Bombyx mori: one gene and its partner. The protein of the gene in region 1 binds, or shares a complex with, the protein of each later gene. Links are inferred from orthologs where the notes say so. Each region holds a gene or a part of one and is shown on either strand. Other genes may lie near its edges. The genes, in order: kinase D-interacting substrate of 220 kDa B and solute carrier family 53 member 1.

The links.
Region 2: the proteins of kinase D-interacting substrate of 220 kDa B (region 1) and solute carrier family 53 member 1 are in contact, whole or in part, in a cryo-EM structure (PDB 9JXQ), measured with the Homo sapiens proteins. The link is inferred for Bombyx mori from reciprocal best matches to the Homo sapiens genes KIDINS220 and XPR1. Residues at the interface, in NP_065789.1 of Homo sapiens: Glu36, Cys37, Gln39, Asp70, Trp72, Met102, Trp105, Trp110, Tyr113, Lys114, Val138, Ile142, Trp143, Gly146, Arg147, Ser166, Asp167, Lys168, Tyr169, Gly170, Trp176, Arg179, Lys180, Gln198, Glu199, Gly200, Ala201, Ser203, Lys234, Arg267; in NP_004727.2 of Homo sapiens: Leu95, Lys189, Lys190, Gln193, Glu197, Ala200, Asn204, Glu205, Ala636, Asp637, Asp638, Leu641, Leu642, Gln644, Met645, Met646, Asp647, Gln648, Asp649, Asp650, Val652, Arg653, Asn654, Arg655.

The regions. Positions count from the first base shown.
Region 1 is NC_085116.1:7,173,792-7,178,354, forward strand, and holds the start of kinase D-interacting substrate of 220 kDa B, read right to left. Parts: upstream 2,831-4,563; 5' UTR 2,588-2,830; coding exon 2,291-2,587; intron 1-2,290. UniProt on the Homo sapiens protein: Promotes a prolonged MAP-kinase signaling by neurotrophins through activation of a Rap1-dependent mechanism. Provides a docking site for the CRKL-C3G complex, resulting in Rap1-dependent sustained ERK activation.
Region 2 is NC_085132.1:3,534,648-3,539,141, reverse strand, and holds the start of solute carrier family 53 member 1, read right to left. Parts: upstream 2,908-4,494; 5' UTR 2,572-2,907; coding exon 2,503-2,571; intron 1,180-2,502; coding exon 1,026-1,179; intron 440-1,025; coding exon 207-439; intron 1-206. UniProt on the Homo sapiens protein: Inorganic ion transporter that mediates phosphate ion export across plasma membrane.

The DNA of each region.
Region 1 (4,563 bases):
GTGTGCCTTTAGGTAAATACTTTTTTCTTTTCCTACCTAAGCTGGTAGCCTTGAGAAGCTATTCCAGCGTAACCTTAACTAGTAGGTGAGCTCACGGGGCTCAAACCTGACGACGTTGCTAACACGAACCCTAGCAAGAGCCGTGCTTCGCAGAATCTACCACCGGATCGGAAACGCGACCCACTGAGAACTATGAAGTTGTACTCAATTCGTGAAAATTGTTTGGGAACAATGACATGATAATAATATGTCATATTTATTATAGAAAAACCGAATACATACTATACATGAAATTCCATGACGTGGATTTTTTGCAATATTTAAACTGTAGTTAGTTACACATAATGTGGTTTATTTTACTACTTCCAGATATGACCGTATTTTTATTTGTAATTAGCTGGATTTATTAGATTAAAAAATAAATACCTAAATACATTTATAAAGTAAGTAAATGTAGTTTAAACTTCAGATTGTAAATTCTTTTATAGCAGACTTCAAAAAAGGAGGTTCTCAATTCGACTGTATGTTTTTTTTATGTTTGTTACTTCGTAACTTTTGACTGGGTGAATCGACTTTGATGATTCTTTTTTTATTAGAAAGCTGACGCTTCCCGTGTGATCCAATTTAGTCCAGTTCTGATAATGTTATCCATGAGAAAACCATATAAGTCTTAAATTTGCATTAAGTACGTTCGCGACAAATAGAGGAATAGCTCAATAACTCAATATCACGCCAACCGATTTCTATGATTATTGTTTTTAGTGTATAATATTAATTTGTTTTGGAATATCTTTTTTTTCTACTTGAAGTCGGTTTTTGTACCGACCTGTAAGATATGTTATGCAAAAAAGAATAAAATAAACTCCAAGCAAATTTGAAATAACAAAAACAGCGATCAATTCGTTAATGTATTTATTTCTTAATGTATTTATTTCCCTAACTTTTCACTGGTAGCCTAAGCAGCTATTGCAGCTACAGGCTGACCGGTAGGTAATCTCACGTGATCAACCTGAGAGCTTGCTAACACTGGCAATATATTATGATGAGTAAGTAATAAAGACGCTCTAATGTCACTTGTAGAGGTACTGACATGTAGCAGTCTCAACTGTGGATCTCCGCGATGGAAAAAAAAACAAGTATCTTTTTTAAATACTTCTATTTCCCACGTATAGAGGCTTAAAATGGTGAGACTTAGAAATTAATCTCACTTTCTGAATTTTCTCGCTTATCCAGTTTGGCTATAGGTATGTATGTGGCTGCTTAAAAACCTAATGAACTGCATCTGGAGTTTGTGTGTTGATTCGACATTGATAATGTTTCCAAAAAAGATGACTATGTCATATTTACGTTTACCTGACTCCAAATCATCGAATTTTATTTTTTGTTCATGCATTTGTTTATTTGTTCGTTCGAACATCACGCAAAAATTACTTTGGCAGTTTGATTTTATGTTGGGTTGGAAACTAACATTAGATTTCAAAACGAATATACATTTGGAGTTGGAAGCAAACCACTGGTGTAGTTAAGTAGTTAAGATATGACAAAGATAGAGACAAAATAATAAAAAAAATTCATGTTTATCATACCTACCAATATACACGATCAAGAATTCTTTATTCCAAACATAAGGTTCCTAGAATAGTAACGATCCGCCCTTCTAATGATTAATTTTATAAAGCACATACTCTACATCTATCTAGAACAATATACACTTGAGACCTTGAGAAGGTTTTTTTAAATATAATTTATTATTGACATTGCTCTAAATCATGGTTCTTATTTTATTATTAAGAAATTGAAACTTCGACTTTAAAATTCGATTTTCTCGTAAGTTTCACTTGAAAGTTACAAGGTTTTTTTTTCTGTAGCGCGACAAAAGAGGTCAAGGTGGAAAATAATTACGATTTAACTACAGTGCTACTGAACCTCAATAAAATGTAAACCTTTATCGTTATTGTGCCTTGATGGAAACAGGGGAAATCCTACATAAGTTGAACACACGACAAAACCGTGTCGATGTCGAGTAAACAAAACGAAGTAAAATGATTAGCATATATGGTCAGGTGGTATATTTTCAACATATTTTATACAAACAATAACTTTTGCTTTACTTGAAATCATTGTGTAGTATGCGCAAGGGAATATGATTAATCTAGAAATAATCATACCTGTTTAAGTAGAATAGAACAAGAGTTAAAAAGAGGAGGTTACATGCACACAATATCGGAAGAATTAATGTTGTAAAGTATACACAAATAAAATTTTAACGCTGGTATTATTATATATATACCTCTTGTGCTTTTTGTGTCTCTCCACTCCAAATATCACGCCAGTGGATGAAATTTTGTAAGTGATTGATGTAGTTATGCTGACGATGTTGCGGGTCACGTTTTTTCCGAGAGTCCGTGGGAGAAGGCGGTGCTGTGAGGGATTCACGCCGTCGAGAACCAGCTGATACAATTGTTGATTTTAATTCGTTGCTCAGAAGGCGTTCAGTTTCGGGGCCTTCATCAGACGACACGCTGCCCATGAGTTGTCGCGACGGCCTCGACCCTCGTAAGTCTGACGGGGAATCTTCGTTCTTCATGTTGCCGCAAATCACACAGCACGAACAAAACTAATAACTTTATAGAATAAGTACGGGTGCAAGAGAAAGCTTCAGTACGGTTAACATTTCGCAAGATATCTTGTACTAAACGGAGGTCGTATTGCGAGGCATGAACGTGCGACACGGACGACGCCGGCGGCTGACTGCGGTGTGAGTGCACGTGGGCAACGATCCGATATCATAACATATTCGCCTACTTCAAACCTAAACAGTTCGACTTTTGAAGCCTTATGTAATAATTTTGAGTAATATTTAATACCAAAATCATTGTATATTGGTGCCCTACTGATTTTTTAAAATGTAATGGCATGATATGGAATGATGGCAGTTAATCATTGACCACTTATATTTGTTTTTTAGGAACATGAACAGAATGAAAACAAAACACATTTTCTTTGAAGACTTCAGGTTCTGTGACGGATTATCATTGATTATGTATATAATCTACTGTTGCCTTACTAGTCTCTTGATACAATGTTTTCAATGGAATGTAAGTGTATTTCTGGAAATTATTTTTATGCATAAATTATGAAATTTAAATTAACCTTTAATTTTTAATGAAGTAATTTTTAATTTTCGATTAAATTATGATTTCTATGGTAGATACTAGTTACACACTGAAATTCGTTAAGCCAGTTTTTGAGAAATAATCATTTCATTATTTTCTATTAAAGAGAGAATCTGTTGTGGAAGGTGGTTGAAAACAAATAGTAGGTAGTGTAATTAATAAGTCTGGTAGATCATCAAACCAGGTTTTATCCATCCTTATTTTTATAAAAATAATAACTGTCTTATACTTGAAAATACTAATATTTTTTTAAAAAAGTAATTCAATATAGTATTTATGATAACATGCATATTGTCACCAATTTCAAAGAAAAATAATCTATAACATAACTTTGAAAATATTTTAAATTTATTTTATATCTCTTCATTAATTTTGCTCAAAATAAAAATAGATATAGATATTGTTCTTTTAACCATCATGTTCCTGGGTCGTTTTATTATATGAATTATTAAGTGAACTATTATGGCCTATTGTGAGCCTAAACATATAAGTGCCACCTTGCTGCTTATTTCTGCATTAACAAGGTATACATTTAAGTCTGAAGCAACTAAAGCTCCAATGAAAAATAGAAAAGTGAGAAAAAAGAAGCAATTCAAGTTAGACTCCATGTCTCAAGTAATATCTAAAAGATCTGGTAAACAATTTAGTGGGTATAAGGTACACATCAAGATTTATAAAAAAATTATGTCTTGAAGGTGTAATTTATGGACTTATAATAATTTATATCCATGAACGAAAAATTCAAAGATATACAGACAGTTATATGAAACATTAACATTCTTTTAGCTAAAAGAATGTTAATGTAATCTTAATGCTTAAAAAATTTTTTTTTTTCTTAAGTTATAGGCATCATAACTATATATTAAGAATATGGTTATGGGTTATCTTGACAATTCAATCAGTAACAAAACTAAGAAGAATTGTAAAGTAACCAGGGCAAGAATTTACAAAATCTATGAATTTGAAGTGGAGTTTTTTGTTTTGTTTTATATGAGTTTTATAAATTATTTTATAAATGACAACCCTTTAAACTTTAATGTCCTGTCTCAAAAGTCACAAAATTTTAAAGATAACAAAATAGATACAATATTCTATTTAATAATTATATAAATAAATAAATAATATTAAGATACAAACATTTTTGTCTTTTGAAATCACAAAAATACCAATACTTTATAATTTAAAGCTATGGTTTGTTGAAAATTCAAGCAATGAGGAAATTTATTGGAATGACATTCATTTAAAAAGAAGTCCTGTAGTTGCTAAAGCAAAATAATTTTGCGCATCGGTTATGTTTCTATTCAATTCAATTATGCTGTTTTATTAACTGGAATTTTATCTACACACTAAACGGTAAGAAAATTAGTTTTCGATTAATTTAATTAAC
Region 2 (4,494 bases), on another chromosome or scaffold:
TTCCATTTGCTATCGAAACAATAAAACCTTTATCAAGACGTGAAACTTTCAAATGATAAATCATGGTCAGTACGAGACAATGGACTTACTTATCAATCAAAATTTCTGTACCCAATTTGATTTGGAACGATGCGGCTCCTTTCACGGCTATCTCTATCTAGACGTTTCAGGAGGCCAAATAAATCTTATCACTGACCGCCACTGACCTTATCGTGTTTCTTCAATATTTTCCTGAAGCCTGTATAGTTTAAATTCTGATAGTTCTGTAGTAGTATTAAACTTAAATAGAATTCGCTGAATGCAAGTTTCAGTTCTTGGACCTTTCGACGAGGCACCGCAGATTTTTTATCGCCTCCCCCTTTAGTTTTAATTGTGTCGAAATTTGTTTTCAATTCACTTTGGAGTGTCGCGAATTTGCGTGTTGCTTCGGCTAATTTTTCTGGAATGGGGAAGGATGTTCTTTGAATTCGGTTCTCTGCGACATGATTCAGTCAGCCTTGGGGCTAAACTCGTCATTCAATGAAATAACTGACGTAGCTCAAAACGAAGATGAATAGTTATCAATAACAATAATGACGATAACATGATACCAACTTCAAGAATTCAATTATTTTTATTTGGATAAATACCTACTGATAATATTAATGATAAAAAACGCATTTAATTCACCCGATGAAGGTCACAGGCAAGTTATTCTGAGAGCAGACAACTCCCTTTCATGATCAGAAATACACATTTTATAACATATCTAAACTTATTACTGGTGGTAGGACCTCTTGTGAGTCCGCACGGGTAGGTACCACCACCCTGCCTATTTCTGCTGTTAAGCAGTAATGCGTTTCGGTTTGAAGGGCGGGGCAGCAGTTGTAATCTTGTCTGTTGTATACTTGAGACCTTAGAACTTATATCTCAAGGTGGGTGGCGTATTTACGTTGTGGATGTCTATGGACTCTAGTAACCACTCAACACCAGGTAGGCTGTGGGCTTGTCCACCCATCTAAGCAAAAAAAAAAAAAAACACTTACCTGAGTAAAATGTGTTAATTTTCTTTAACTCCTGATCACAATAATGGAAGAATGTCTCATCAAAGTTTGCAAAGTGTCTAGACAACACCTCCGGTTCCACATTTTCAGCTGAAGGAGCCTCCTCGACCGCTGTGTATAACATTGCTTTCATTTCCTGTTATTGTTTTGACACATTTTAAGATTTTTTTTAGATTGTAATGAATGAGATCAGTCCAGTACATTGTACAGTTTTTATAGTAAACCTGGAATAGATTATCTATCTACCAATCTAAGCAAAGCGCTTTGGTTGGGTTTTGTAGTATGTTAAGTAGGATATCTTGTTTCATAACACAGATACTACATTCACAGATGTGCTGACATTGCTGATTTTTATAATCGGTATGACTGTAACAGTAAAAGAGATGCTGAATCTTCTATCTTGACATTAAGACCAAAGCAAATAAGCTGGTCTTTGTACATTTTAACATTCTACATGTTATATTGGAAGCTATAAACTAGATGGGTTGACCAACTCAAGGAGGTGACTGGAGGCCAGATATGGGGAGCGGTACATATGGCGCAGAACCGGACCGAGTGGAGAAGATTGACATACAGTCACGATCCTCAGCATTGAGGGAACGACCAGAAAGAAAGAAGATAAACTTAACAATATACATAGCTGTATGATGTAGGCTGAGAACAACACCACTCCATCATGAAGAAATATTCCTCAATTGAGCATGTTTCAATTGCTAATTGATATTTATTGGTGGTATAGAATATTGTGAGCTAATTTAAAGAGCTCTTAAAATCCATTAGCAAATTAGTTACCTTTGAAATTCAAATCATTTCAACTTAAATGTCATTATAAGATACTCGGTGAATGTCCCAAAATATAACCTAATTTTGAGGAAAACTAAGTAAAGAAACTTATATGTTTTTATCTTCTTCTTTTTTAAAGACACTTAACAAAGAGAAATTATTGTTTTGCCTATTCAGTAATGTAGGCCTACATCAATGTTATTTGATAAGTTCAATTTTTTCAAACATGTTCTCCTAGCTGATTTAAAGACCATAAAATTGAAATCTGACCTTTATTGTAATTTAATTAAAGTTAATTTGTATAGCTAATTTACATTTTTAAATTGCATTTTTAGGAGCATTACTTCATTTTTAGTTTATCCGTACTTTTTTTCATTCAATATCTTCAAAAATTTGTAATACAATTATTACTGGGTAGCTGTGCCAGCATAGTAATTTGATTACTACCACTATATTTAATAATAACTAATACTACAATCTAAAAATTTGCAGAGTACAATGTTTACAAAATATTTTTCAGTTATCACCTCTACTTTAGTTGGAAAAATTAGTCATCTTTTCTTTATAACTCTTATTGATAAAAAATATAGTTGGTAGCATCTTGGTGTTGAAACACGAGATAAGAAATAAATAAAATAATAAGTAATAACAGAAGTACCAAACATTAAGTACTTACTTCATAATTAATATACTGTTTACGCCACTCGGGCGTAATATGAGCACTCAAGTGCTCCGCGAATTTCATTATAAAAATTTAAAGAACACGTCTTTCTAAAACGGAGACTAAATAACACTGAAAACTGTCAACAATAAAATTGTTCAATCAACTAAGTTTGTCTATTGATAAAAAGATAACAACGACCTCAATATATGTACTTTTAACGTATTTATAAAACACTGGAATGATTGTAATGACACACTACAAACTTAGAATAATAAACAGTTTATAATTGTTAGTGAAAACCTGTTCTGTAAGTTGTGTTTTTCTCTTTTGGTTTTACGTAAAACACAAAAATTCAAACGCTTTTGTCAAATACATAGATTACCCAATTAATATTTAACATATATCTAAATCCCTAAGTGTATAATCTATAATTTAGATGCTATCGTTGTTATTTCAGGACTTTTTGGCGGGAACGCGAGGAGTGAAGTTGTGTGATTTGTTTTATTTTGTCTATTTAGTGTTTCTTCAGGTTTAAATGTGTAATAATGGTGGTTTATTAACTGTTTAATATCTGTGAAAGTGCACAAATGTGGGAAAATGAAACAAAGCTGCTGGACGTAACTTCTCAGGTTCCTCCAAAAAGTCCACTGAAAAAATCTCAGTAAATGACCACCATTTTACTGCGATTATATTTCATCCCATATCATTTAATTTCATTAAATTTCATCCCAGTTGATTAATGTCTCAAATTAATCATCTTCATTTCATTTCACTCCATATTATCATTTTTCATAAAATTAAGAATATAAAGTAAAATAAGATATGACTTAAAGGTCTTAGTTACCAGGTCATAAAATCTCTTAAAAAAAAAAAAAGTTGTTATTTCATTTCATATTACCATCGATGAATTTCCACTGATTTGGAATTATGTACAATCGGTTGTTATTATTCTAGAATAATTTTCAACATATTTATGTAGGATTTTTATAACAAGATAAAATACGTTAAGGTATAAATCATCAACACATTCAAATTATTGTTATTTTTGTTGAAGGGAATGTAATTTGATTTGAATTTTTAAAGTAAAAGGAAGATGTACAATTTATGTTAATTTTCAAGTCGTTGAGACTGGTTAAGATAAAAGGAATAAATTTGTTACTTTTTAACAGAAAAGAAATGGTTTTCTGTAAAGTCAGCTTACGGACGATATTTTTAGGTGATAACGTCAGAAACATTAAAAAAAATATTGCATATTTCTAGGAATTGAATTTATTTAATATTACTGAGCTATCATCATTCTGTATAATACAAATAAGTTAATTGAAAATTCAAATTTTTTTCGTTACATTAACACTTGGGCCAATCGTGCTTCTCTATCGCTTGTTCCGTGATTTCGCTTTCACGTTCAGACCCAGACGGAACGTGACACTTTTTCGTGCGTGCAGCCGATGTTCATAGATTTATAAGACGTTACGACGTCAAAATTTGTTTGCTTATGTCTACTTAGATACGAAAAAGATATGGATCTTGCTAATATATTATACGACTATTCATCGATGTCAGTCTACTAGTTGACTTGTAGGCCTTGATGCTTTTAATGTAACTTTGTCAACGACTTATTCAGCATAGATAATACTTAAAATTTTAGGGAGCACGGTGAATAGTTATGTATATGTTTGACCAACCAAAATGAGCACGATTCACAGATCATTCTGAGGTCATTTTTTTACTATATTTAGAGGTGTACGAGATCATGACGGCCATCTAGTGTTAAGTACATATTTTTTTTGGGCCGTGGGCTGAACCTCTTACGAGGTCCCCGTGCCTAGGGGGCGCGAGGGGTATGTGACGATCTGCAAGGTGTTGGGAGCAGACCGCGGGCCCAAGGAATGTTAAGGCTCTACCCACTAAACGACTCCCCTGCACTCTTCGTCCAAGTATCCGATCCCCTCCGAGGTCAGAAACCGGATGAGGTAGGGGGGGTTACCGCGGTCAACACTGCAA